Mus musculus: one gene and its partners. The protein of the gene in region 5 binds, or shares a complex with, the protein of the main gene of each other region. Links are inferred from orthologs where the notes say so. Each region holds a gene or a part of one and is shown on either strand. Other genes may lie near its edges. The genes, in order: Klhl42, Klhl21, Kctd5, Klhl12, Cul3, Klhl22 and Klhl25.

Region 1 (4,066 bases), on a different chromosome or scaffold from region 5:
ATAGCTTAAATACTTTGTAACAAAGAAGTTTATATGTATTTGTCTTTATGCCCAGCTTTTTAGAACACTGTGTGGTTTACTGAAGTTATTGGATCTTTTAAGATGCCCCATCGTATGGCCAGGGGTTAAAATCTTGCAGGAGCGGTGCCCAGTATTGTCAGGTACCACTTCAGATTGCAGTCCAGCTGACCTCACTGTGGTAATGTGACCAGGGTTGAATTGCCTCTCTAATGAGAATCATTCTCAAAGGTTGGCTTTCTGGTTTGTTTTAAAAGGCAAGAGAATACCAGTTGGTCTGGAAACAAAAGCTTCCATTGGTAAAGATTCTAAAGAGCCAGAGACTAAGAGCCTGTTCTTCTGGTGACTCACTGAATCCTGCCTTGCTGATGGAGGCGCAGACAGATCCAGGTCCAGCCTTTTTTAAGTCAGCCCTCCCAGAAGCCCCCAGCCTGATGTCTAATGGTAGCTGTGGCATTTTGCCTTGCTGTAGAATCTACTAAATCCTTGGCCCCTCACCTGAAACCCTCCTCATACCCCAAACACTGAGAGTGACAGATGGGGAACGGAAGCCTGCCAGGAATGATTGCAGGCCTGTCAATCACGGGGCTGTGTTCCAAGTTTCTCAGAGTATCCAAGAAAGTAAGGCATAGCAAGCCTCAGGTCCATGTGTTGTGTCTCTTTCCCATGGGAAGGCCGGATCCTGCTAGAATGTTTTCTGTACTTCATAGTTCCTTACCTTTGTGTGTATTCTGCAGAATATAATGGCCGACAGCCCTCTCTCTGTGAAGCAGCCGACGGACACAGTAATGCTGGGGAATGCAAGGCAGGGCACCATGGGTACCAGGGCAGACACTATCGCTTCATTACAGCCTTTGGGATCCAGCCTTCTAACCAAGCGTCCCGCCAGGGAACATAGGAAAATGTTCTTTCCTAACAGCTATGATGGGATGGTGGTGGTGGGGTAGATAGGGATGAGAGCGGGCAAGTGCTACCCAGAGGGGACAGCTCTGACGCATCTTCATCTCCGCATCCCCATCTCCGCATCCTCTCCACCCACCTGCCCTTTTTGCTGCTCAGAGACTCTGCTGTCTTGGTGCTGGGGTTTGAACCATGCCACTGCCTGCCTTCCTATCTGTCTGTCTTGTCCATGGAGTTAATAACTCTTCTAATAAATTGCTTAGCCCTAGTAATCCGTTAGTCCACTCTGGAACCACCCCGCGGATCTAAAACCTCGCAGTACTGACTGGCCCAGGAAAACTCACACAGGGACTGTGGGGCTGCGGGAAACACCAGAAGATCAAGTACGGTGACTTGTGCGTAGGGGGCGAGCACCGCGAACCGACGCGTTTGTTTGTTTCCTAACAACACCGTGCTGGAGAAATGCACAGTGGTTAAGAGTGCACACTCCTGCTGCGGAGGACAGGAGCTCCGTTTCCGCGTAGGGCAGCTCACAACCGCCCTTACCTCAGGCTGCAGGGTGATCTGCCGCCTTTGGCTTCCTGGCACCTGCATTGTAGCGGAGGAACCCACATAGACACATGGATTAAAGATCAGAGAGGCCGTTTACTCGGAGGGCGTGTGACGCACCGGCGGGGCTGAGCCCGGGGCCCGCGGCCCGCGGCGGCGGAAGGAAGGAAGCGAGAGCGCAGGCCGGGCTCGGCGGAGGCTGTGCGCCCGGGGGAGGAGCCTGAGCGGCCGAGCGGCGGGGCGCAGCGGCCCAGCCATGTCGGCCGAGGAGATGGTGCAGATCCGCCTGGAAGACCGCTGCTACCCGGTGAGCAAGAGCAAGCTGATCGAACAGAGCGACTACTTCCGCGCGCTCTACCGCTCCGGCATGCGCGAGGCCGTGCGGCCCGAGGTGGGCCCGGAGGTGCAGCAGCTGCGCGGCCTGAGCGCTCCGGGCCTGCGGCTGGTGCTGGACTTCATCAACGCGGGCGGCGCGCGCGAGGGCTGGGGCCTGAGCGAGGACGAGCTGGCCGAGGCTAGTGTGCTGTCCGAGATGGTGGAGGCCGCGTCCTTTCTGCAGGTCACGGCGCTTCTGCGCTTGCTGCTGTCGCACGTGCGTCTGGGCAACTGCCTGGAGCTGTACCGCCTGGCGCAGGTGTACGGACTGCCCGACCTGCAGGACGCCTGCCTGCGCTTCATGGTGCTGCGCTTCCACCAGGTGCTGTGTCAGCCGCAATTCCCGCTACTGTTGTCGCCGCCGCAGGCCCCCGGGGACTGCAGCCTGAAGCAGAGGCTGAGGGAGGCCCGCATGCGCGGGACCCCGGTCCTGGTGGCCCTGGGGGACTTCCTCGGGGGACCCCTTGCCCCGCACCCGTATCAGGGGGAACCCCCGTCCATGCTTAGGTACGAGGAGACCACGGAGCGCTGGTTCCCCCTGGCCAACAACCTGCCCCCCGACCTGGTGAACGTCAGGGGCTACGGCTCAGCCATTTTGGACAACTACCTCTTCATCGTGGGTGGTTACAGGATCACCAGCCAGGAGATCTCTGCCGCACACTCCTACAATCCCATCACCAACGAGTGGCTGCAGGTGGCCTCCATGAACCAGAAGCGGTAAGTGCAAAGGGGGTGTCTGCACCCTTCATTCATTGCCCTGGTGTTTGCTGGCCAGAGGCGATGGCATCTTGCTTAGTGCTGCTGGCCTGTCGCCTCTGGCGGAGTTCCCAGGGAGCCCAGGGCTTGCTAGGAAGAAGACGAGTACTGTGTCAGCTAGCCTAGTGGTCTTCTTTCAGGTGCAGGCCCCAGGTAAGAATGGTTTCTCTGCCTTAGACCGGCTTGCAGAGAAGGCTATTGGGAAAGATAACGGTTGTTTTTCCTTCGCTTTTCTTTAACTTGTCTGACCCGAATTACGGAGACACTAGCAGTAACTTGTAATTCTGGCTTCAGAAATTTTTGTTGTTGCTGACAGTGACTTTGGATCCTTCTCACTTGGGTAGGAGAGCGTGCATCCCCTCTCCCTAGGATGGTGTAAGGGATTTGCCAGAGAGGATTCTCTTCTCTTTTCATCCTCACTTTTGTTTCTTATTTCCTTCTAAGACGGCAATCATCTTTGACCCAAAACTTGAGCCTGGAGCGGTCAGCTACAGAATGGGCGTACCCTTGTCTCTCCAAGTCTGTTGTCTATCTGGGATGCCTCAGACTCCCCGGTCTGGATGCCTGAGTCCCTTGTGGGTAGCTTTAGCATGTACATATAAACCCTACATATACACCTATGCATATATACATTAGCGCATATATATATATATATATATATATATATATATATATATATATATATATATATATATATATACCCTCCTGCATATGTTCAGATGGTTTTCCTTTATCTTGGTATGTTCCTCAGGCTGGTCTTGAACTCCTAGGCATGAGGGTCTGCCATCCTCTGCCTTCCAGCCTTCAGAGAGCTGGGACTAAAGGTGTACAGTACAGTATTGGCTTTCTACAATAAATAATCTGTAACTTATAACTTCAAATGTAAGGCATCTACCATGTCAGTGGTTGAAGGAATGACAAAAACCAACTCGTACTGTTCAATTTCCCCCTCTTATGGCTTGAAGATGCATTCCTTTCCACTTCACCCATCTTTCCCAAGTGGCCTGGGGGACAAGTCAGGGCTTGTAGAGAGGGTTTGTTGCCCCAGCTGCTTGGAAGGCTGAAGCAGGCAGATTCCAAGTTAAAATTCTTCCTGGCCTTCAGAGTGAATTCCAGGCCAGCCTGGATAATGTAGCAAAACCAGAAAGAGTAGGGGAAAGGTGTCTTAGAGGGATAGCACTAGCCTAGAATTTTGAGGCCTCAGATTCAATACCAGTGTCCCAGCAGTAGAAAGAGTAGCCAAGGACAGGATGGGCGCTCTCTCTCTCTCTCTCTCTCTCTCTCTCTCTCTCTCTCTCTCTCTCTCTCTCTCTCCCTCCCTCCCTCCCTCCCTCCCTCTCTCTGTCTCTCTCTCTCTCTCTCTCCTTCCCTCCCTCCCTCCCTCCCTTCCTTCCTTCCTTTCTTTTTTTTTTCTTTCTTCTCTTCTTTTTCTTTTTTTCAGGCATAGTTTCTCTGTATAGTCCTGATT
Region 2 (4,195 bases), on a different chromosome or scaffold from region 5:
CTTGTGTGCCCGAGGCCCTTCATTCCATCTCCAGCAGAAAGAAACAAAATCCATACTCAGTTCCCAGCTGCAGCATTTAATCCTGAGGCTTCCTGCTGAGCTGACTCCCAGGAACTGCAGGATGTTCCTAGCAGCATCCCACTTCCTGGCTGCTCAGCCTGTCGGAAGGGCTGTGTGTAAGCTGGGCCAGCCTCCTGGGCCCAGGAATGCTGCTCTGCCTTTAATAGCTGTGTGAACAGTCCTTCTATGGGCAACAGGCGGTTGCCTGGGTACCTGCATGTTTGCCTCCTTAGAACCTGTGCTTCCCATGGTGACCCTGAAATTTAGACCAGAGGCATTCTCGTTGGAAAAGGAGGAGAGGTTCCTTGAGTGGAAAGCCTGAAAGGGTTTAGAAATGGAATAAAAGCAAATGTCTCCAGCCAAGGCTGTGTCAACCCAGGAATGACAGAGGACTGACTCCAGGGTGCTTGGGCAGGCTTGAGGCTGGAATGCTTTCAGAACGGAGGTGGGGGACAGTTAACAGCAGACGCCGCTGATGGCAGATGTTTCTCTCTCCACACTTGCCTGAAACCAAGTAAAGCAAAACCCAAATATGGCTTCTAAGTGGGGGGGCTCCTTCTCCAAGAGTACGTACATATATACATACATTACACGCATATACATACAAACAGCCCCCACTGCATCACCACTCAACTGTGACTGCTACCGGCTCTGCAGCTTTTCAAGGTGCTGCCCTGCCCGACCTTGAGCTGGACCCATTGAGCCACCCAGAGGACTGGGAGCCTGAGCGATCCCCAGCAGACCTGCCCCTACCCTTTCTGAGAAGCCTGCTCGGAAAGTAAAGCCACTGCTTTGCTGATGCGCTGGAAACTCAGGCATGAACACTGTGGAGCACATTCCTGGAGTCTGGCCCCACCAATTTGCTTAAACGCGCCAAGAATAAAGGACGACGACGAAAACCCATCGAATTTGTTCGTGTTTTGGTGCTGAATTGTGAAAATAGCGTTTGAAATCTGACTGGGTTAAGTAGCTACCCCTGGAGCCACTGAAACTAAAACATCGTCATTCCCAGATGTTCTGAAGTTCCCAGGAGCGCAATAGGGAATTTGAGACCAAAGGGGTGATTACGGATTCGGGCGCCAAGCTCGCCTCTCCAGACCTCTTTCTGCAAACCGCTGGGCTGGTGAGTGGTTAGCCCTCACTTGTCACCCGCCGTTCTCAGCGGAGCGTCAGCTGGAGACGACTGGAACCCCCGGAAGGGAGGAAAGGGGCCGGCGTAGGCGGCTGTGACTCAGACCGCAGTGCTGGGAACAGAAGGGTTAAATGGGCAAGGTTAGAGGCGCTCCGCCCCAACAGACCCCGCCCACGGAGGCTGCGGCTGGTCTGCGTATTTATAGAGGCGGTGCCGGACGCGCTGGGGCGTCCCTGTGACCCGCAGCTCCGCGTCATGGAGCGGCCGGCGCCTTTGGCTGTGCTGCCCTTCTCCGATCCCGCGCACGCCCTAAGCCTGTTGCGCGGCCTCAGTCAACTGCGCGCCGAGCGCAAGTTCCTGGATGTGACCCTGGAGGCGGCGGGCGGCCGCGACTTCCCCGCGCACCGCGCCGTGCTGGCGGCCGCTAGTCCCTACTTCCGCGCCATGTTCGCGGGCCAGCTGCGCGAGAGCCGCGCCGAGCGCGTGCGCCTGCACGGGGTGCCGCCCGACATGCTGCAGCTGCTCCTGGACTTCAGCTACACCGGCAGAGTGGCGGTGAGCGGCGACAACGCCGAGCCGCTGCTGCGCGCCGCCGACCTGCTGCAGTTCCCCGCCGTGAAGGAGGCGTGCGGCGCCTTCCTGCAGCAGCAGCTCGACCTGGCCAACTGCCTGGACATGCAGGACTTCGCCGAGGCCTTCAGCTGCTCGGGGCTGGCGAGCGCTGCGCAACGCTTCATCCTGCGCCACGTGGGCGAACTGGGCGCCGAGCAACTGGAGAGGCTGCCGCTGGCGCGCCTGCTGCGCTACCTGCGCGACGACGGGCTGTGCGTGCCCAAGGAGGAGGCGGCCTACCAGCTGGCGCTGCGCTGGGTGCGCGCGGACCCGCCGCGCCGCGCGCCGCACTGGCCGCAGTTGCTGGAGGCTGTGCGCCTGCCCTTCGTGCGCCGCTTCTACCTGCTGGCACACGTGGAGGCCGAGCCACTGGTGGCGCGCTGCCCACCTTGCCTGCGCCTGCTGCGCGAGGCCCGCGACTTCCAGGCGGCTCGCTACGACCGGCACGACCGCGGGCCCTGCCCCCGCATGCGTCCGCGCCCGTCCACCGGCCTGGCCGAGATCCTGGTGCTGGTGGGAGGTTGTGACCAGGACTGCGACGAGCTGGTTACGGTCGACTGCTACAATCCGCAGACCGGCCAGTGGCGTTACCTGGCCGAGTTCCCCGATCACTTAGGTGGGGGCTATAGTATCGTGGCTCTGGGCAACGACATCTACGTGACGGGTGAGTGAGTTGGTGGATTTCCAAGAGAGATATACTCAGGACCTGGCATTCTAGGGCCTGACCTAACCCTTGGCAGGGCTACTTCCTTAAGTTCTCCATCTGTTTTTAAGCTAGAAGAGCCCCCCTGTACGAGCAGAGACATAGCTCCTTTGTGGGTCTCTGTGCTCCTTGTGGTACAGTCTGCCTTGTTTAGCCAACTCCTTGCCCTGAGGTACCTCCCTCTTTTGAGTTGGAAAAGACCGGGCTTTGACCTGGCACAATGGGTGCTTTCTTTTAATCCCCAAGGAATGTGGGGACAGGATGCAGGCTGGCGCCTGGTGAGGCATCTTTCCCTCCCCAAAGCAGGGACATTTCTCCCTCCCTGCTAAGCCACAGGGGCCTCCTGACTCAAGGCTTTGTCACCAGTGACCAGGTTTCTTAAGAGCCCGCACCTAGGCGTTGCACTGTGGATCACATGGTATTTAGGCTGCACTAGTCTACGACTGTAAACATGGTCACATGTTGAGAGATTTTCTTCCACTTACTTGGCTGAAACCCCAAAACACTGCCGAGTCACGGTAGGCGGGCCCCAGCCTGCCCCAGTACTGGGCTTCTCCCACGTTTTTTTCACTAAGGATGAATCCCTGATCAAACTGTAGGGAGGCTACAGGAGGCCAAGAGGAATGGCCTCTGGAACTGCTATATAAGGAAAGACCACTGAGGCCTCTGGCCCTATTATCAGGCAGGCAGGCATGAGGCTGGGTCGTCACGGGGGCCGTGCTTAGGGTGGCACATTCCACATAAAGCCTACCCTGATGTTGCTATGTCGGAACAGAAGAGGGACACATCCCGTCAGTGTCAGTTCTGACCAGCCGCCCTGAGTCCAGCTCTCTGCTGAAGCCTGCCAGTGTGTATCCCTCTTTAACAACCTGAGACCGACTCTGTGTTGTTTGGGGTTCCTCCCTTGCCACCCTGCCCCCATCTCCTCCGAAGTCTGGCTAGTGATTTTGAGCAGAGAACGCCTTCCCAGAACTGGCCAGACTCGCCCTTGGATAAATGTCACAGCTGAACAGCTAATCAGGTTTAGGCAGGTGGCACCGTCCTGGCATTCAGCTGCTGGTAGGGGATTTTCCTGCCGGTCAGGAAGCCGCTTCAGCTGCTTTGCAGGGTCCCTGTAAAAGGCCCACAGATGCCTCAGACTCTCCTTCCTCAAAAGCTCCAGGCTGAGAGACAGACAGAATGTCTCTGTCCTGTTTAAGGCGGGCGCCAGCAGGGAAAGCCAAGGAGCACAGCCTCCAGGATTCCTGCAGTCTCCTGATAGCATGAAAGTTTTGTAGTCTTACATCTACTTTACACACTGTTTTGTAAGACAGGGTTTCTCTGTCCTGGAACTCTCTCTGTAGGCCAGGTTGGCCCAAACCTCACAGAGATCTGCCTCTTTAATAGCCTTTTAAAAAAGACTTGTACACACACACACATATCAGTGCCTGTCATACTTGTATAGCTTGATAAGAATTTCAAGTGAAACGTGCCCTTGTGCCCTCCACTAAAGTGCAAACTAGAATGGCAAAGTATATGGAGGTGTGGCTTGCTGTGTTAGGTCTCTTGGGGAACGCTGTGTATTCTCACCGTGTCCTGGCACAATCCTGGTTTGAAAGTGCCCAGGAAGTCTAGGATTTGGTGGCCAAGTCCTATGTTTGCTGTGTACCGGGAAGAGCCGCCCAGAGCCAAGGCTTGGCTGTTCTGAG
Region 3 (3,962 bases), on a different chromosome or scaffold from region 5:
GTAGCACCTCGTGGGTAGAAGGTAAGACAAGGGCCCTGACATTGAACAGGGCTGGAACCACTCTCAGAACCTCTGAAGATACCTAGCTTCTGGCCTAACACTTCAGGGTTATAAGTCAGAATGTGGAAAAATGGCCTGCAATGTGAGGGAAGCTGTTTCTGTCAAAAGCACTTTTGCAGCAGTAAGCAAATGAATTAACCAATATGAATACCTGAAAATTCCCTGTAACTCATTTCTTCCATATGAAGAATCCAAACTGAACAAAAGTTTTTACAAATAGCAAAATTTTCCCTCCCCATGTAGTCCACCCTAGTTTAATCATCTGGGTTAATGACTACAAGTAGGTCATTGTGCAGGTTAAAGCCACGACCATAGTGTGATTGGACATGTGCAAATTAAAAACTGTTACAGTATTTAGAGCTGCTGCGGCTGGTCCATTAGCCACGTACAGTAGGATGAATTGCTGTCATTCAGGTTGGTGGCAGTCAGTTAGAACATGTGTAATATTCTCTACCTGTTCTGTAGCTGTAACTGTGATGTACAGGCAAAGGAAAAATTAAAAATACTTATGAAAACAGATAATGCAATGATACTGGGATATACACTTTTGTATTTTTATTCTTATATAAGGTTATTTGCTGGCTATTGTCGGCCTCTAGTTCAGTCTGTGTTATTTAAATTCTAATATATGAATTATTTGGATTGAATTCATGTTTGGGGCCACGTTGTTGTATGTATTGATGTACAGCCTTGAGTGTGAATAATTATTGTAAACTATATTTTACAACTTTTTTCCTGGCTTTATTATATAAATTTTCTATTTGGTCATGGTTTAATCATATAATTTAATGAAACAACTTTTCTTTTTTTTGTTTTTTTCAAATATCTGTGCTTTAGATGTAATTACCGGATGATGGATTTCCCTCGTATGCTCGGTAGTCTTGTAATAAAAGCATGTAGAGTGTACACTTTGTTTGCCATGGAGCCTCTTTGAGTAGGGGCGGAGCTTGAGCCGAGGATGCTCGTGAGAACCCGAGACTTGCTCCGGCCGGAAGTGGTAATCTCCGGCCTGCTTTTCGAGCCGGAACTTCCGCCTTGCACATGAGCCCTGGGCGGGCACTTTATTGGGGCGTACCTATGGGCGGGACAACTCAGGGGGGCTGTATTAAAGAACGGACGCTTCCGGCGAAGGGCCGCTGTGGCGGGGCTTGTTAGGATCATGGCGGAGAATCACTGCGAGCTGCTGCCGCCGGCTCCGAGCGGCCTCGGGGCGGGGCTGGGGGGCGGCCTGTGCCGCCGCTGCAGCGCTGGGATGGGCGCCCTGGCTCAGCGCCCCGGTGGCGTGTCCAAGTGGGTCCGGCTCAACGTCGGCGGCACCTACTTCCTCACCACCCGGCAGACGCTGTGCCGGGACCCGAAGTCTTTCCTGTACCGCTTGTGCCAGGCGGACCCCGACCTAGATTCGGACAAGGTGAGGGCCTCGCGGGTCAGCAGGGGTCTGGCCGCCCTAGTCGCCACTCGCGACACACACCTCTTCACAATGAGGGCGCCCGGCGGAGCGGGCCGGAGGGAGGATGGCACTCTGGTACCCACCTGCCTCGGCCCTTTGGTTTAACAGTGCCTCTTTCTTCTTTCATGCTCTTCGGTCGAGAAGGACCCAAGCTTTGCTGTGGCCCTACTTTCTTCTCCCCAGATTCTTTTGCCCAGGGTGTGTGACCACCACCGCCCAACTATTTGCTGGCTTTGGAACCTGAGAACCCTTTGCATTCATCTGGTCTTTTCACATTCCAGACGTCTAAATTAACGTAGGCCATGGGGGTTGACACAGTGACTACCCTTTTTCCAGTGATTTGCAGAGTTTGTGCTTTATCCTTCTCATTCATAAGGACAGGCACGGCATCTCTTAGAAGGTACCACCTGAGTAGAAATGTTCAAAGGTGTCAGTTTAATTCTAATAAATGAATTATTTGTATTGAATTCATGTTCGGGGCCAGGTGTCAAAAAATCTTAGGGTTGTGAAAGAGACCAGGTAGAGAATCTTTTTCCATCTCCTTTTCAGACTTCATTTCCCCACCGCCTTTGAAAAGGGTAGGGATTTCCAGCTTAGTTTGTGGTTTGTCTATCTTTAATTTAATTAAACGCTAATACTGTTAATACCTGTGGTAATAGAAAGTATTTCAATTATTATCATTACAAAAGTTGTGTGTCGTACTGCATACTGAAAAATTAGTATTGTGCAGGATTGAAACTTAGGAACAAATCGTTCACTCCCCTTTCCCCCTAGGCAGTTTATTAGCCTTGTACTAACTGAGTTTTCTGGTTCAGCCTACATGATGGTGCTTGATTTTGTGCCTTGCCAGCCTGAAAGTGACTACTCAGGAGGTTTTCCAGAAAGATCGAGCCCATTGCACTTTAAACGGCCTAACAGAGCACCTTCTCAGTGAGGGAGGCCTGGCATTATGACCAGGAAATGAACTCTTGAGTTACTGCAAAATAATCAAGAAGTTAGAGTTTGAGATACTACTATGGTAGTTCTTCATATCCTTCCTCCCAGCTGTTACCATTACTGAGTTGACCAAATCTCTTCACTCTTAGAGGATTGCCTTCTAGAAAATGGCAGAAGTCTGACAGATAGAAATAGGCTTTTGTCAGTGCTGTTTCCTTTTTATAGTGAGGGTGTGTACTTTACGATTGGTTTTTCAAACAGTAGGCATTTATAGTCATTCTTGTTTTTCTACCCAAGCATCCCTGTCTTGTGTATTAAGTCAGATTTTAAGTCAGCCTTGGCCCTTGGCTTCTGGTGTCTTTTTGCTTACTTAGCACTGGAACAAGGTATATAGGGCTGTTTGACTTCAGCATAGTTAAAGTCAAATATATCTCTTCATTTTACTATCTTTTAAGATTACTTTATAAATTATCTTTATTGTGCTGATGAGATGGCACCTGCTGCCAACCAAACCTGAAAACTTGAGTCTCTAGGATCCACAAGGTGGAAGGAAAAAACTGACTCTTAAAAGTTAAACTCTGAGTTCAAGCACTTTGGGAGGCAGAGGCATGACGATATATAAGTTTGAGGCCAGCCTGGTCTACAGAGCGAGTTTCAAGACAGCCAGGTTTACACAGAGAAACGCTGACTCAAAACACAAACAAACAAACAAAACAAAACAGCTGGAGAGCAGCTCAGTGGATGAAAGTACCGGCTGCTCTTCCAGAGACCCAGGGTTCAATATTCAACACCCACATGAAGCAGCTCACCACTCTCTGTAACTCCAGTTTCAAGGGATCTAGCACCCATATAGACATAGGCAAGCAAAACACTAATGCACATAAAATAAAATGAGTCATTAAAATTTCATATACAAAAAAGCCTGGTGTGGTGGTGCACGTCTTTAATCCCAGCACTCAGGAGGCAAAGACAGATGGATCTCTGTGAGTTCCAGGCCAGCCTGGTCTACAGAGTGAGTTCCCACACACAGAGAAACCCTGTCTCAAAAACAAAACAAACAAAAAATTAAAAATAAAGTTGTACACTGACTTCTCAGTACTATTATGGTACTTGTGTGCCCACACACGTAAATAAATGTGTGTGTTTGCCTGTGTGTGTGTGTGTGTCTGTGTGTATGTGTGCGTTTCCTTTATTGCAGTGGAAGATTATCAGAATATATTTTAGTTGTTTTTTCTTTTTAAAGTTTATTATTTAGGAAGTAGAGAGTTGGCCCAGTGGTTAAGAACACTTGCCGCTCTTACAGAGGACCCGGGTTGGATTCCCAGACATTCTCTAAGTGACTTATAACCATCTGTAACTCCAGTTCTAGGGAGTCTGACACTCTCCTTTGACCCCTTTGCACCAGGCATGCGCATCTGAAACACTCATACACATAATGTAAAATAAATCTAAATTTTATTTAAGTAACATTTGATTTCTGAGTTATAAAGCCACAATTCAGATCATAAAAATAAAA
Region 4 (2,421 bases), about 54 Mb from region 5:
TAGGGCTACTCCAGCACCTGGGGAAAAGAGAGCATCAGCACATGAATGGCAGTAAGCCTAGCATCTGAACCCAGTAACAAACACGGCCGCTAACGGCTGCACTGTGGAGATGAGGGATGCACACATGTCAAAGCACTACAACAGTGTAATACAGCAAATGTCAGTGTGTGCATTGGTCAACCCTTAGGTTAGGGCCTGAAATTCTAGCAGAAGACTGACATGGGTCTCATCTCTGCTGTCACTAACTCACAGTCTATCTCTCTTCTGTGTTAGAGACAATGAGAGGAACCAAGGCCATGGCTCTGCTGTGATCTCTGTCCAGAGGCAGTTACATCACAGCCTATTCAACTAAGAGTTCTCAGCTGTTAGAGTTAGATGTACCTCTATGATAGAGTACTTGCCTAGTATATGCAAAGCCCTGCGTGCAGTATTCAGAATTTAAAAAAAATTATTTTTAGGCATTAGAGATTTTATCTAATACTTATTGCCATTTATTATCAGGTATATGTCACATGTGTGCAATCCTGGGATTACTTGGAGTCTAAAGTTAATGTGAGCTATATACTACATACAGTGAGATCTTAGATTAAAAAAAAAAAATCACCAATGAGTGTAGTGGTATAACTTGAAGCCAGAAGCAGGAGGATCACCTCATAGCAACTTGTACACTGGCCAGGACTGCACAGTAGGACCCTCAAAACAAAGTCCAGCCAGGTTTGTCAGTGCACGCCTTTAATCCCAGCACTCAGGAGGCAGAAGCAGGTATAGGTGCATCTCTGTAAGCTCAAGGCCAGCCTGGTCTACAGAGTGAGTTCCAGGACAGCCGGGGCTGCACAGGCAAACCCTGTCTTTAAAACAGCAAGACATCAACATCCAAAGAGTACAAAAAGCAAAGACATAGACCTCAACAGGTCTGTGTACAAAAATATTTATTTAACATGTACTGCACACACAAAATGAGGCTAGTGGTCAAACTACAAGAATAGAAAAAAGTACTAAAGAATAAGGAATCGCTGTCCTCAAATGGACAATCTAGCTCAAAGTTTAACCTACCTTCCTTCATCCTAATGTTGTAGGGAAGGCAGAGGTGGAGGAGACTGGACTGTGACTCACATTCACAATGGGTCTACAGTGAAATAAGAACTACAGTTCTGTCCTACTGATACCACACCCAGTAATTAAACCATCACTTCATAGGTTTGGTCTTACCAGAACGCTTGGTGGCCATAGGCGTAACGTTAGTCCAGTGTCCTGTATGGGGATCATATTTCTCAACTGAATTTAATATGTTCAAGCCATCATATCCTCCTGAAAGACAAAGTGGAGAACATTCCAAAGAGAAAGGTAGATTACCAGGCTCATCTTAGTTGGCCTTCTGTGAGTAATTCAACTGATTATTTATTTATTATATGTAAGTACACTGTAGCTGTCTTCAGACACCCCAGAAGAGAGGGCATCAGATCTCATTACAGATGGCTGTGAGCCACCATGTGGTTGCTGGGATTTGAACTCAGAACCTTTGGAAGAGCAGTCAGTGCTCTTAACTGCTGAGCCATCTCTCTAGCCCTAATTCAACTGATTCTTTCAGTTCTATTTTTTCCAGAGGTCCAGGTCAGAGAATATGCAACATCCTACATATTGCTTACAAGAAAAATATAATCCTATTCATGGACAATATATTGAGAAAAGTCAGAGTTTTTGTTGATGCAAGTATATGCACTTAATTCTGCCCTCCAGAGTCTGTAACCACTAAGCTCTCTCCAGCCCCATCCCAGGCTCATACCTAGACAATAGATTATTCCGCTGGCCACTACTAGTCCTGCGCCCTCTCGAGCTGTCTGCATATCTCCCAGCATACTCCACTGATCGATGTTTGGGTCATACCGCTCCATACTTGTATGACGCCTACTTCCATCAAAGCCTCCAGAGACGTAAATCATATCTGCTCAGAGTGAACAAATTATAGACTGTTAAATTAAGAATGAAAAATACCTAACAACTTTTATCTCTACAAATTACCCATTGTTAAGATGGGGGAAGAGGGACTGCACACATGAATGTAATTACAACACTTGGGAGGTTCAGAAGGAGGTTCAGGAGTTCAAGGCCATTCCTGGCTACAGACTAAGTTAAGCCTTAGCTATTTCAGAACTCATCCCAGGCAAACAAATTATTATATTTCTTCAAGTTGATTTTTATTATTCTTAAATTTCCCATGGTGTATATTAATTATATATGGTAGTGTATAATACTACATAAGCACATTCTTGTAAATGTATATTTTGTATATATTTTCTGAGACTTACGTGACTTAAATGGTAAGTCATGTAAGTCTCAGAAGGAAGAAAGGCAGTACAAACAAGCATTTAAAGCCCATGCTGGTAAGCCCAAGTTTGAAACAAGGGTGAGTTACACGGGGAA
Region 5 (3,268 bases):
ACGCTATCCTACCAGGTTCTGTGAACTGGGAAGGTAACCCAGAAGTTAATAATATCATCAACATGATTAAACTATATTCTGGTATGTATTCAGAATACTGAAATCTAACTAATCCTCGTTAGCATCCATATTTTGACACAAAGAAGTATGTTTTTAAACATCCATTAAATTTTCAAGTAAAAGCTTTAAAATTTTTGTACTTTTTCTTGTCTAGTTCTTACCTCACATCCCCAAGTACTAAGATTATAGGTATTAGGCACCATGCTTGGTGCATCTAACTTTTTTTAAATCAGGTCACTAAATTTTTCAGCTTTAAATGGCATGTCGGCTCTAGTAAAAAGATAGGGATTTTTGTTTGTCTATGTGGAAGTGTTTTAGTTAAGACTTTACTTTTTCTTTTTAGGTAACTCAGCAACTGAAGGCTCGATTCTTACCAAGTCCAGTTGTTATTAAGAAACGTATTGAAGGACTTATTGAGAGAGAATATTTGGCACGAACACCTGAGGATCGCAAAGTATACACATATGTAGCATAAAATGCATTCAGAAATTTGATTTATTCTTGGACTGTACTCTTCGCATGGACTGGGAAGTTCTTTTAAATCATACTATTAAGACGACCATCTCTTCTGTTAAATTGCAGTACGTGTTATAGACCACTCAGATCAAGCCTCTACTCCCTCTGAGAGTTTTCAACATCAGTTGATTGAGCTTCAGGCTTTCCAACGTTATCCCTGTAGAGATCATCTTTACAGTTCCTCGGGAAAATGTGAATGTGCCGCGTTTTGTTTTCAATATTGTATGAAAACAGGAAAAAAATAAAACAAATTTAGAAAACACAGCTCATTAAAATAAAATTGTTGGATTTCATTTCCCCAGGTCTTCAGTGTTGATGTAAATGTGTTTCTGTAGTGTTGCTTATTAGCACTTTGCGCATTGTGTAAGTTGGGTAGCAAAAATGGCAAAAGAGATGCAAAATTCCCAGTTATCTTGCTCTGCTTGTGACATTTCCTTCGCTGGTATTGTTTAAAGGTTTGATACATATACAAAGACCCAGGCATACAATTGGCGCATGCTTTATCCTACCACTTGCACTTCCTAGTCTCACAGCCTTATGACCAAGGACCTTTATTTGGACATCAATACATACCCTGACTTGTTTTTCTCTATTGTAATCTGAGGTTTTCCAAATTAAGTTCTAAGATTATTAGGTTTTGCTCTGAGTTATTTCTAGAGAAAGAAAATATTTTAGTATGTATAAATTGTACAATAATTTTTTTGCTGTTGTACTTACTGCTAACAGTGGATTGTATAGGGTGGTGTTTTTATTTCATTTATTGTAGACAAAATAAATAAATTTAGTATTCACATACACACTAACTCAAGTATGTCAGAGCACAAAGGTGGCAGCTGGTTCTATTTAATTTAGTTCCTTTGAAAAGCACATCCATCCATTCTACCATTTGTTTATAAATATATCCCCCATCCCCCCACACACAGTTTAAATATATATTTTGGTGAAGCTGTGGTACACCATTAATTGTTTCAAAATGCAATCTAAAGATGCAATAAATAGAGTACCTTGATAGTTTGAAGGAATTCTTCAGTTCTTGCAGCTGTGTTTTAGAAAGTGATTAAGCAATATTTTTCAAACGTGGATATTTAGCTATCCATTGTCCTCTGAAGAGTCCTTTTCATGTTTTCAAAGATGTGCTTTGTGCTGAAGATTTGTGTGTCCGTTCCTCTGTGCTTCCAACTATCACTGAAGTCTTCTACCTGATTGATCTGCCAAGGATTATAGTTTGCTTTAACTTCAGAGTATTTTTATCTTCCATTTTATTTAATTTTGTTCCTTTTTCTTTTCTTTCAAGATAATGTTTTAGATATGTAATTGGGGAAAACCACTAGATTTCTGTCAAAAAAATGAAATGTTACTGAATTCAAGTAACCAACTCTCCATTGAATATCAATACTGTTGATATACTTATTAGAATGTATGTCTCAGAAGATGGTTTCTGTTAAATATATGAAGTTACAATTACTGAATTCTAATATGGATTAAAAGCTCCACATAAATATTTTCCCCATGCGTCTTGGATTATAATTTTCCTTTTAGACTTGCTTTTATTGCATTTAAATTTGCTTTTATATGTACTGTTAATTTTAAGTCTTAGGATCTTAATCTCTACATGTTCTCCACCTTTCCATGAGACAGTAAAGGTGTGGGCAGTACGGACAGGTTCTCGGTGCACCTTGCTGTGCTTGCACAGGTACGGTGGGACACTGATGGATTGCTTTCTGGTGTAAATAGAATTTTTACGAAGGAAGCTACTTTTAACAGTTTGGAAGTGAAGACAGCTCAGCTGTACAGATTAGGTCTAATGTATATGTAGGGACATAAAGGTTTGCTAATTGTTCTGGTAGATGCTTGCTTCTGAGTTAAAGTAAATGTATTTGTTGGGCAATGCTGGCTCTGCTACCTTACAAAATTCATGTGATGCATTTGGTATTTCTCAGCAATAGGTCATTGACATTTTTATCCTCTAAATGTTTTAAAAGAATAATGTGATGAGATTCTTTTTTGTGACTTGAATTTTAGGAAAGATGGATAATTTTTCCAGCTATAAAAAATGATGTCATTAATTGTTAAGTTATTCTTTGCTGTCATTCTTTGTGGGACAGCATTTTTTTATTTGTCATTTAAATATTGAAAATTTATTCCAATTAGGAAACAGCTTCACAAAATAAAAAATATGGTTGTAATTCCAAGGATTCTTTATGTCAGTGAACTACAAATGGAATTAAAGGGATGCATGTGTGGGGCATTGTGAGCACAGGGCAGGAAGGCACTGGTTCAAGATCTGGAAGATACTAATACGCCTTTGCAGTGAGATTCTCAAGAACAGTGAAGTAGCGCTGACGTTTGTTTCCTCAGTATGCAGGACAAACAGAAAGGCTTAGGTAAGAGCCAATGCTCTAAAGATAATGTGTACATTTCCAGAAACTAGCACCCTTACTGACACCTTAATTTCTCTATTTGGGTCTAAATTTTAGTATATTTAGTCTACACAATGACCTTTTCAGGTTAATTTTGAATATCCACTTTGATCAAATAATACAATATCTTGCCCTTGTCTGTCTACTGCCCTTTTGAGAGTAGCCTAAGTTTTCATGTTCCATGTTTTACACAGCATAAGGCTCTCTCATCTTAGAAGGAAAACCTTTGTATTATTTGTATTATGTTTTGCCCTATATGGTACTTCTTTATG
Region 6 (3,262 bases), on a different chromosome or scaffold from region 5:
TTTACTGGATAACTGTGAACAGCCTTTCTTGGCTGCCTTCCTGCTGGTAACCACTTCATCTTCAAGCAGCAAGGGCAGGTGGAGTGAGTCTTCCTTCCTATTCCTTCTGGCTGCCTTTCCATTTCTTATTTTGAGTACTTACATAATTAAAGATGTTTCTCCATTCATGATAGGACTGTCTATCTATAGTCTTACAACAAGCTACAAAGTCCATAAAATGCTTTTTATATGAGCATGAGGTCCAGAGTTTGATTCCCCTACAACACACATAAAAATCTAAGCACCATGATGGCTGCTTGTAACCACAGTACTTAGGCTTGAAGACAGTACCTGAGGTTTGCTGGCTAGCCTAACCCAAATGCTGAGCCTGGGTCTCAGTGAGAGATCTTGTATCAAAAAAAAAAAAAAAAAAAAAAAAAGTAATTCCTGCGGAACAGCATATGGCATTGACCTTTGACCTCCGCACACATACAAATGCATATAACCACCCTTGACCCAACAGCTGTCATCACTTAGCACATGGAGTACTGTAGGAACTCTCAAAATGGAGTAGCTGTACTGAGTTAACTAACTCCTGAAAAGGACAAGTTCAAACTTGGAACCATGTTGTCTAACAAAACTTACATCAATGTAAAAGCTGAAAAACTATAAGTGAAACCTTCCTAAGTCAGAACTGTTTGTTGACTGGCCACAGTTGCTCACTCCTGTGCTCAGAGCAGAGCCAAGTAAGTCTCTGCAAGTTCGAAGCCAACCTGGTCTACAGAGATTTAGGCCAGCTAATGTTATGTATCTAGATCCTGTCCCAAACCAAAACTATGGAGTGGTCCACCCAGGAAATACACTTCCAACCCTTAATCCCATCTGTAAAGTCAGTTTTGCCATGTAGCATAACATGTTCATAGGTTCCAAAGGCTAGGATTCTAGGGCAAGGAGTATTATTTTGCCTATTGTAGCAAGAACCTTGATTTGCTTGCTTAATAAAGCATATAAGATTTTGCGCATTGTTACCTAAACCTACAGCCTCAGTACTTGGGAGCAAATAGGAGACCAGGCTAGCCTTGAGTTCACAAGTAGCAAGCCACCTGCTTCTGCCTGTCAGTTTTTGTTTAGCTTTTGGTTTTTTGAGGCAGGGTTTCTCTGTGTAGCCTTGGCTGTCCTGGAACTCACTCTGTAGACCAGTCTGGCTCTGAACTCACAGAGATCTCCTGCCTCTGCCTCCCAAGTGCTGGGTGACATGTGCCACCACTGTCAGGCTTGAAGAAGAGGGTTAAGTGTCTCTTACTGAATACTACTTACTTCCTTTTCTGACATGTGAGACATGCGCACCAGCTTTGCCACACCTTCACTTGCACTGGGTTTTATGGGTTCCTTCCCTCCATGGTTACTGGTTAACAGGGGACATTTTGGTGTTACGCTTCTTGGATTATTAATAGATTGAGCATTTTTTCTCAAATCTTTGTTTACTGCTTTAGCTATTTATTTTGCTTTGGTGGTCAGCAAGTAGCTGCTCCACACACTCCTCATGAGTATGAGTAAGGGTGCTTGCTGTGAAGGAAGAAGAGATGTCAGGTGGGTCCATGGCCTCCGCTCCAGCCTTTCAAAGGGAGAGAAGCAGGAGTGGATCTAGAGATGATGAGGGGAGGCATCTGGACTCTTAGGAGCTAAAGGATGGGAAGGCTAGACCACCAAGGTGAGCATCCTCCAGTGGGCCTGCTATACACCTGACCATGGGCAGAAGTGACTTGGGGTGGGCTGGCAACCTGTCCCAGAAGCTGCCTGGATTGACCCTGGTCTTGGCTTTGCAGGTGGCTTGCTACAGTTGTACATCTCGTCAGTGGTCATCGGTCTGCCCACTCCCAGCTGGGCATGGTGAGCCTGGCATTGCTGTGCTAGACAGCAGGATATATGTGCTGGGTGGCCGCTCTCACAACCGAGGCAGCCGTACAGGCTACGTGCACATCTACGACATGGAGAAAGACTGCTGGGAAGAGGGACCCCAGCTGAACAATTCCATCTCAGGCCTGGCAGCCTGTGTGCTCACCCTGCCTCGATCCCTGCTCCATGAGCAACCCCGAGGGACCCCCAACCGTAGCCAGGCAGATGCAGACTTTGCTTCTGAGGTGATGAGTGTGTCTGACTGGGAAGAGTTTGACAACTCTAGCGAGGACTAGGGCTCTCCCCAGTGTTTGGGTGTTCAGGAAGGGTAATGGGCAGTGAAGGCCGTAGAGCCTGGGTTAGAACACCAGGCTCTAGGGGAGGGGCCCCTCCTTAAGCCATCCTGGTTCACCAGCTGCCCCTTTCACTCTGTTTCTTCAACCAGCCAGCTGCCAGCATTTGTAAACTCTGTGGCTGTGAATTACATTACAAAGAAAAGTGCTGGGGGGAAGGCTGCTATCATCAGAGGGAATGACCCATCCTCTATAAACTCTGAATGAGTGGGATCTATTTGGCCGCTTCTTCTCCCTAGTCTGGTCCCTGATGGGTTAAGTAAGGTCCTTCTTTCAAGAGATCCTGGGGAGAGCACTCCTAGCCATAGCCAAAGTTTGTGGCTCCCTTTCTGTGAACCGTGGTCAGTCTGGTGAGCAGCGCCAGCTGCCTGCAGCCAGGGCCTTGAGCACTGGGGAGCTCTCAAGGTATACTCTTAGAGTAACTATATACCTGTAACTGGACCTGGAGATGAAGAGATACCCTCATTGCTCTGTGTCTGACCCAATATTGTTGAAAAATGAAATAAAGCATTATGCAAAAGGTGTTACATCTAATGTGGCTACAGTCTGAGTTTCTTTTCTCTCTAGTTACTGCCTCAGTGGCATCTAGGGTGGTACAGGCCAGCCTTCCTGGGGGATGGACTTGGCATGGGAATTGAGTCTCTGCACTAAAACCAGGGGGTCACTACCCTACTTCCAACATATGATAAGCTCCACAAGCAGAAAGAATGTTGGTCACACAGAAACCAGGACCTGAGCTACTGAGGTGGCAAGTAGTTGCCTGTCTCTCAGTCAGAACATCTAGAATGTCTGCCCTGAGGCTCACCAGCTCCTGCTGCCTCATATCCACTCTAGCTCCTGGGCAGCCTGACTCTAGCTGTGGTGCTGACCTAGTCCCATCCTCCTTGGGGAGCTCAAAATTGTTCGCCTCACTGCATGTCTAAGGCAGAAAGCTCCGAGGATTGGGGTGCAACTCAGCACTAGAGAACTTGCTTAGAATATCCATTTATGAGAATGGAAAGAATATGGAACAGGACAGTAGTGTCCTGGTCTGT
Region 7 (4,158 bases), on a different chromosome or scaffold from region 5:
ATGTATGTGAGTACACTGTAGCTGTACAGATGGTTGTGAACCTTCATGTGGTTGTTGGGAATTGAATTTTTAGAGTCTCTGCTCGCTCCGGCCCAAAGATTTATTATTATACATAAGTACACTGTAGCTGACTTCAGACGCACCAGAAGAGGGCGTTCTCATTACAGGTGGTTGTGAGCGCCACTCCCCAGCTCATCTAGTAACTCTTAAATGAACTAATGGATGCGTTGGGCAAGTGTGATGTCTACTCTTGATCCTCAACTTGATTATATCTGGAGTAGCTAAAACCCAAGCAGCTGGGCTCACCTGTGAGGGATTTTTTCCTGGTTGGATCATTTGAGATAGGAAGACCCTTTTTTTTTTTTTTTTGAGCCAATTTCATTCTTTTTTTTTTTTCCATTTTTTATTAGGTATTTAGCTCATTTACATTTCCAATGCTATACCAAAAGTCCCCCATATCCACCCACCCCCGAAGACCCACCCTAAATCTGGGCACCTTCTAGCGGCAGCCTGGAAAAAGGACCTGGAAGAAGCAAGCTTTTGCTCTTTGTCTGCCCTTAAGTTTCACAGGTAGGGTCATTCTTTCATTGTATTATAGCCAACTTCTTCTGAATTCCAAGGTATACTGAAGACCAGCTGAAGCATCCAGCCTCGTGGACTGACAGTTGGACTCTCAGACGTTATATCCGGAGACAGCCATTGTTGGGCTACCCCGGCCACAGCCTGAAAGTTACTCTAATAAATTCCATATGTGTGTTGTATGTATGTATGTATGTATGTATGTATGTATAGATATAGATTTACTCTATCAGTTTTGTACCGCTGAGAGTTCTAATAGTGAAGGATATTTGAAGGGTTAAAAAAAAGTTTAGGAAGAAATTTCCACCGGCTTGACAGAACAGCTGAAGCTTAAAGTCCTCTCCCTTGAAATCTGGGAATTCCCAGTATAGACAGGGATTCGTGTCTGTAGAAATTCCCTCGCATCGAAACTAGCCGGGAGGGAAAAAGGATTTCCTTAACATAGGAGCGATTAGATTGCTGGTCTTTAAAAAGATCAACAACGGCTGTGATTCGGTAACAGAAAGAAGAATGCGTGTGATCGACAAAGACCTTCCTTAAGAGAAGCTCTAGAACAGGTCGTGTTGCTTTCTCCCAACTCTGGCCACCAGAACAGAAAGGCAATGGCCTGTCCCTTTAAGAATCTGGTGGCAGTCGCTTTCCTCTCCCCGCCCCGCCTTCCGCGGCACCGATGGCCTGGACGACCGTCCCTTTCTTCTCACGCGACTGTATTACGGGTCAGTCGACCCATCCGTCACAGAGGCGCGGTTTATGATTGGTTGCTGCGCTTCGGGCCGCGAGGCGGGGCGGGAAGGCCGGAGAAACTAGTTTGTTGGCAGCGCCCGTGCGGTTCGGCTACGGGATCGCGGCCGGGACTGGTGAGCCGGCCGGGGGCGGCGGCAGCGGCGGGGACTGCAGAGCCTGTGGGGCCGCACGGTGAGGATCAGGTCGGAACTTGTCACCGGGACAGCGAGCGATCCTGCTCGAGGATCGCCGGGCAGGGCGTAGGACCGCAGGCCCAGTTCACTGGGTCGGGGAAGTGGGTGCTGACCTGGGAGCGCCCCTCGATCGAGCTTGGGGACCCCGTACTGTTATGTTCAGAGCTCCCGCCAAGGGAATGAATTGTTTTCCAAACGGATGTTACGCGCAGGAGCGGCTACCCTCTCCCGGGAGTGTTTGATTCATTGAGTCCGCTGATTCTCTTTTTTAAAAAAATTACTATTGATCCTAGAAAGAGGAAACTGCTTGTCTTCGAGGATGCGAACCGTGCAGCTTTGTGCACACACCTAGCCAAGGTCCCCGCGACTTGCTTGTACCTAGCCAGGGCCGAGGGGTTAAACCAGGGAAGAGTAGACAGCAGGGCCTGGCCGTGTGGCCCGCAGCATAGGGTCCTTCCTGTCTGGAAAGTTGTCTATCAAGGGAGAGTGGTGACACTCCCGGAGCCATACGCCCCTACCTACCCAGGTGGTGGCCGATCTGGCAGGGCCGTAGCAAGTAGTCCACCCCCCCCTCCCCCCGCCATCCCATTCCCCTCCTCCCATGCGTTGCCCTGGCGCGAGAATTCCGCTGTGGTCTGCAAATCCCCACTGGACTAGTCTCCTTCATAGCTGTATTAGAAGCTTTTTCCTACTCGGGAATTGTGCCTACTGGGGCACCAGACACTTGGGTGCAAGTGCCTCAAGGACCTCAAAGTGGATTCTCACAGTCTTACTTTTTTTTCTTTTTTTCCTCTCCCGGTTTTAGTCTTGTTATAAACGTCAGGCCAGCCTTGAGCATGAAATCTCTGGTCCCAGTCTCCTGAGAGCTGGGTTTATAAGCAAGTGCCACCTTACCAATCTGGGAGACTTTCTAGAGACTCGAGCACAGGAAGTTGGGGGGAGGGGCGGACTCTCGGGGGCTTTGTAGTTCATCTGTACTTTGGGGAGACCAGAGGCCAAGTTGCTTTGGCCAAGGTTCATTGGGCACTAGTTCTCCCTCCATGCTCAGGGCAGGACAAGGTATGCCAGATGTCTGGGCTCTTCACCCCTGGAGTAAGACGGGGAGGGAGGGGCACTTGGCACCTGACCCTCTAGTTTGCTGAGCCTCTTTCATAAGCGGCACAGTTATGCTGGGAGGACTTTTTATGGGTGTTGCTGAAAGCTTGTGTCAGGGGACAGAGGAGGGAGGACCCACGGTGCTCTTATCCTACAGTAGATTTGGTCCCTCTAAGACAGGGTTGTGGAGATCACAGGCTTTGTCTGTGGAGATGGGCAAAGTCACTTTTGTCCCAGCCCTGTAATTATTGATATTTCAGCTGAGTCCTTTATCAGCAAGCCAGTCCAGGGAGATTGTTCAAAAAAATTGTGGAGGATGGACAGACGAAATCTTTTTCATGGGCATCGAACTGCAACTGGGTTCCTTGCGCCATGCAGCGGTGCAGGATCCGTGTGCAAGTTGTGTGTTCCACGGTGGCTCAGTTCCTGTTGATGGCATCTTAAGCCTGTGCCACCAGTGTAGGGAGAGAAAAGTAGGAAGACAAAAAGAAATGCCCCCGTGTGCGCTGTAAAGTAAATGCATCCTTCCTGTCTTAGAGGGAGGAGGGCGGCCTGGAGCAGTGAGCTTGCTATGTATGCAGAGACGGCTTTAGTCAAACTAATCATTTGAGCAGATGATATTGAGACCCTGCTTTCAGAAAGGAGGAGGTGCTGGCTCATGGATGGGGACCTTGATACATCAGTTTGCAGAACCCCAGGGAGCAGGTAACAGGAAGCTGGAGAGAAGGATGAAGGCTTCTTGGAGAGAGAAAAGGAAAGCCAGCATGAGCCTACCAAACCTTCATTCCATGCCCTGGTTGCAGCCATTTTTTCTAGCCATCCATCCACACTCTCCCAGGGCCAGCTCTAGGATGGGCAGCTGTCCAGGTTCATTGGAGGACCTGGCTTCCCAGCAGCTTCTGGGGGCTCCTGCTCACCAGCTCACTGCCTGGGCCCTGAGTTCTTTATTAGCTGGCAGTGTCAGTGTGCCCTGGGCAGGACACACACACACACACACACACACACACACACACACCCCTATAGAGCTGGCACAAGCCAACAGTGGTGGGCCACAAATGAATTGGCCGATTGAAATGCTAATGCAGTAAGTCCTCTAATGTGGTAAATTTCATAATTGAGTTGCCTTGCTGATCTGCCAGTGAATCCTTTTCGAGGCCAGGAAACACTTGGGAGCTATGTGAGGATGGCCAGGCAGAGGCAGAACTTAAGCATCCCAGCGTACAGAAACCGCATCCCAGCAGGACTTGTGATGAGTCTGCTGCTGTCTGGCTGCCACTGCAGGCTTTTTCTCCTTCTCAGCAACCGTGCCCATGCCCTGAGAACCCTCTGCTGGCACCAGCTCTAAAGACATCTGAAGCTGACACCTGCCTGCCCTGCCAGGTGTCTCTGGGGCTTGTTAGGACTTGGGAGCAGACACTAAAGGGACAGAAAGGGACTCTGAGGTTGGCAGGGCTGCCCCTTAAGTCCCTTCAGCACAGGGTGAGTGGAAGGAGCTCAGGCTCTGGTTGACCTGGGTTCAAATGCTGCCCGTGTCACTGTGAGGCCTCCTGGAGGAGGGTGTAGGTGA

Evidence for each region.
Region 1: Cul3 (region 5) and Klhl42 share a complex: the UniProt entries of both Homo sapiens proteins name them as parts of the BCR(KLHL42) E3 ubiquitin ligase complex. The link is inferred for Mus musculus from reciprocal best matches to the Homo sapiens genes CUL3 and KLHL42.
Region 2: Cul3 (region 5) and Klhl21 share a complex: the UniProt entries of both Homo sapiens proteins name them as parts of the BCR(KLHL21) E3 ubiquitin ligase complex. The link is inferred for Mus musculus from reciprocal best matches to the Homo sapiens genes CUL3 and KLHL21.
Region 3: the proteins of Cul3 (region 5) and Kctd5 are in contact, whole or in part, in a cryo-EM structure (PDB 8U83), measured with the Homo sapiens proteins. The link is inferred for Mus musculus from reciprocal best matches to the Homo sapiens genes CUL3 and KCTD5. Residues at the interface, in NP_003581.1 of Homo sapiens: Thr24, Met25, Asp26, Glu27, Lys28, Tyr29, Val30, Asn31, Ser32, Ile33, Trp34, Asp35, Leu36, Leu37, Asn39, Ala40, Glu43, Asn48, Ser50, Leu52, Ser53, Glu55, Glu56, Leu57, Arg59, Asn60, Ala61, Tyr62, Thr63, Met64; in NP_061865.1 of Homo sapiens: Trp45, Phe55, Leu56, Thr58, Thr61, Arg64, Asp65, Lys67, Ser68, Pro96, Thr97, Tyr98, Phe99, Gly100, Pro101, Leu103, Asn104, Tyr105, Leu106, Arg107, His108, Gly109, Lys110, Leu111, Val112, Ile113, Asn114, Lys115, Leu117, Val122.
Region 4: Cul3 (region 5) and Klhl12 share a complex: the UniProt entries of both Homo sapiens proteins name them as parts of the BCR(KLHL12) E3 ubiquitin ligase complex. The link is inferred for Mus musculus from reciprocal best matches to the Homo sapiens genes CUL3 and KLHL12.
Region 6: the proteins of Cul3 (region 5) and Klhl22 are in contact, whole or in part, in a cryo-EM structure (PDB 8K8T), measured with the Homo sapiens proteins. The link is inferred for Mus musculus from reciprocal best matches to the Homo sapiens genes CUL3 and KLHL22. Residues at the interface, in NP_003581.1 of Homo sapiens: Thr14, Arg17, Ile18, Arg19, Ala20, Phe21, Pro22, Met23, Met25, Asn49, Ser50, Gly51, Leu52, Ser53, Phe54, Glu55, Tyr58, Tyr62, Leu66, Met118, Asp121, Ile122, Met124, Tyr125, Arg128, Val129, Gln133; in NP_116164.2 of Homo sapiens: Asp73, Tyr74, Arg76, Gly77, Met78, Gly81, Gly82, Leu83, Lys84, Glu85, Leu92, Ile93, His94, Leu117, Gln121, Val125, Cys128, Gln129, Gln131, Pro133, Trp146, Glu150, Asn151, Asp154, Val155, Arg157, Leu161, Phe162, Asp163, Ser165.
Region 7: Cul3 (region 5) and Klhl25 share a complex: the UniProt entries of both Homo sapiens proteins name them as parts of the BCR(KLHL25) E3 ubiquitin ligase complex. The link is inferred for Mus musculus from reciprocal best matches to the Homo sapiens genes CUL3 and KLHL25.

What each region holds. Positions count from the first base shown.
Region 1 is NC_000072.6:147,089,809-147,093,874, forward strand, and holds the start of Klhl42 (kelch-like protein 42), read left to right. Parts: upstream 1-1,266; 5' UTR 1,267-1,723; coding exon 1,724-2,559; intron 2,560-4,066. UniProt on the Homo sapiens protein: Substrate-specific adapter of a BCR (BTB-CUL3-RBX1) E3 ubiquitin-protein ligase complex required for mitotic progression and cytokinesis. The BCR(KLHL42) E3 ubiquitin ligase complex mediates the ubiquitination and subsequent degradation of KATNA1.
Region 2 is NC_000070.6:152,007,496-152,011,690, forward strand, and holds the start of Klhl21 (kelch-like protein 21), read left to right. Parts: upstream 1-1,395; 5' UTR 1,396-1,447; coding exon 1,448-2,468; intron 2,469-4,195. UniProt on the Homo sapiens protein: Substrate-specific adapter of a BCR (BTB-CUL3-RBX1) E3 ubiquitin-protein ligase complex required for efficient chromosome alignment and cytokinesis.
Region 3 is NC_000083.6:24,070,686-24,074,647, reverse strand, and holds the start of Kctd5 (BTB/POZ domain-containing protein KCTD5), read left to right. Parts: upstream 1-1,162; 5' UTR 1,163-1,219; coding exon 1,220-1,471; intron 1,472-3,962. UniProt on the Homo sapiens protein: Its interaction with CUL3 suggests that it may act as a substrate adapter in some E3 ligase complex. Does not affect the function of Kv channel Kv2.1/KCNB1, Kv1.2/KCNA2, Kv4.2/KCND2 and Kv3.4/KCNC4.
Region 4 is NC_000067.6:134,486,531-134,488,951, reverse strand, and holds part of Klhl12 (kelch-like protein 12), read right to left. Parts: intron 1,943-2,421; coding exon 1,784-1,942; intron 1,309-1,783; coding exon 1,210-1,308; intron 18-1,209; coding exon 1-17. UniProt on the Homo sapiens protein: Substrate-specific adapter of a BCR (BTB-CUL3-RBX1) E3 ubiquitin ligase complex that acts as a negative regulator of Wnt signaling pathway and ER-Golgi transport.
Region 5 is NC_000067.6:80,264,423-80,267,690, reverse strand, and holds the end of Cul3 (cullin-3), read left to right. Parts: intron 1-403; coding exon 404-535; 3' UTR 536-2,768; downstream 2,769-3,268. UniProt on the Homo sapiens protein: Core component of multiple cullin-RING-based BCR (BTB-CUL3-RBX1) E3 ubiquitin-protein ligase complexes which mediate the ubiquitination and subsequent proteasomal degradation of target proteins.
Region 6 is NC_000082.6:17,790,621-17,793,882, forward strand, and holds the end of Klhl22 (kelch-like protein 22), read left to right. Parts: intron 1-1,805; coding exon 1,806-2,171; 3' UTR 2,172-2,762; downstream 2,763-3,262. UniProt on the Homo sapiens protein: Substrate-specific adapter of a BCR (BTB-CUL3-RBX1) E3 ubiquitin ligase complex required for chromosome alignment and localization of PLK1 at kinetochores.
Region 7 is NC_000073.6:75,846,980-75,851,137, forward strand, and holds the start of Klhl25 (kelch-like protein 25), read left to right. Parts: upstream 1-1,358; 5' UTR 1,359-1,494; exon of another isoform or gene 1,495-1,505; intron 1,506-4,158. UniProt on the Homo sapiens protein: Substrate-specific adapter of a BCR (BTB-CUL3-RBX1) E3 ubiquitin ligase complex involved in various processes, such as translation homeostasis and lipid synthesis.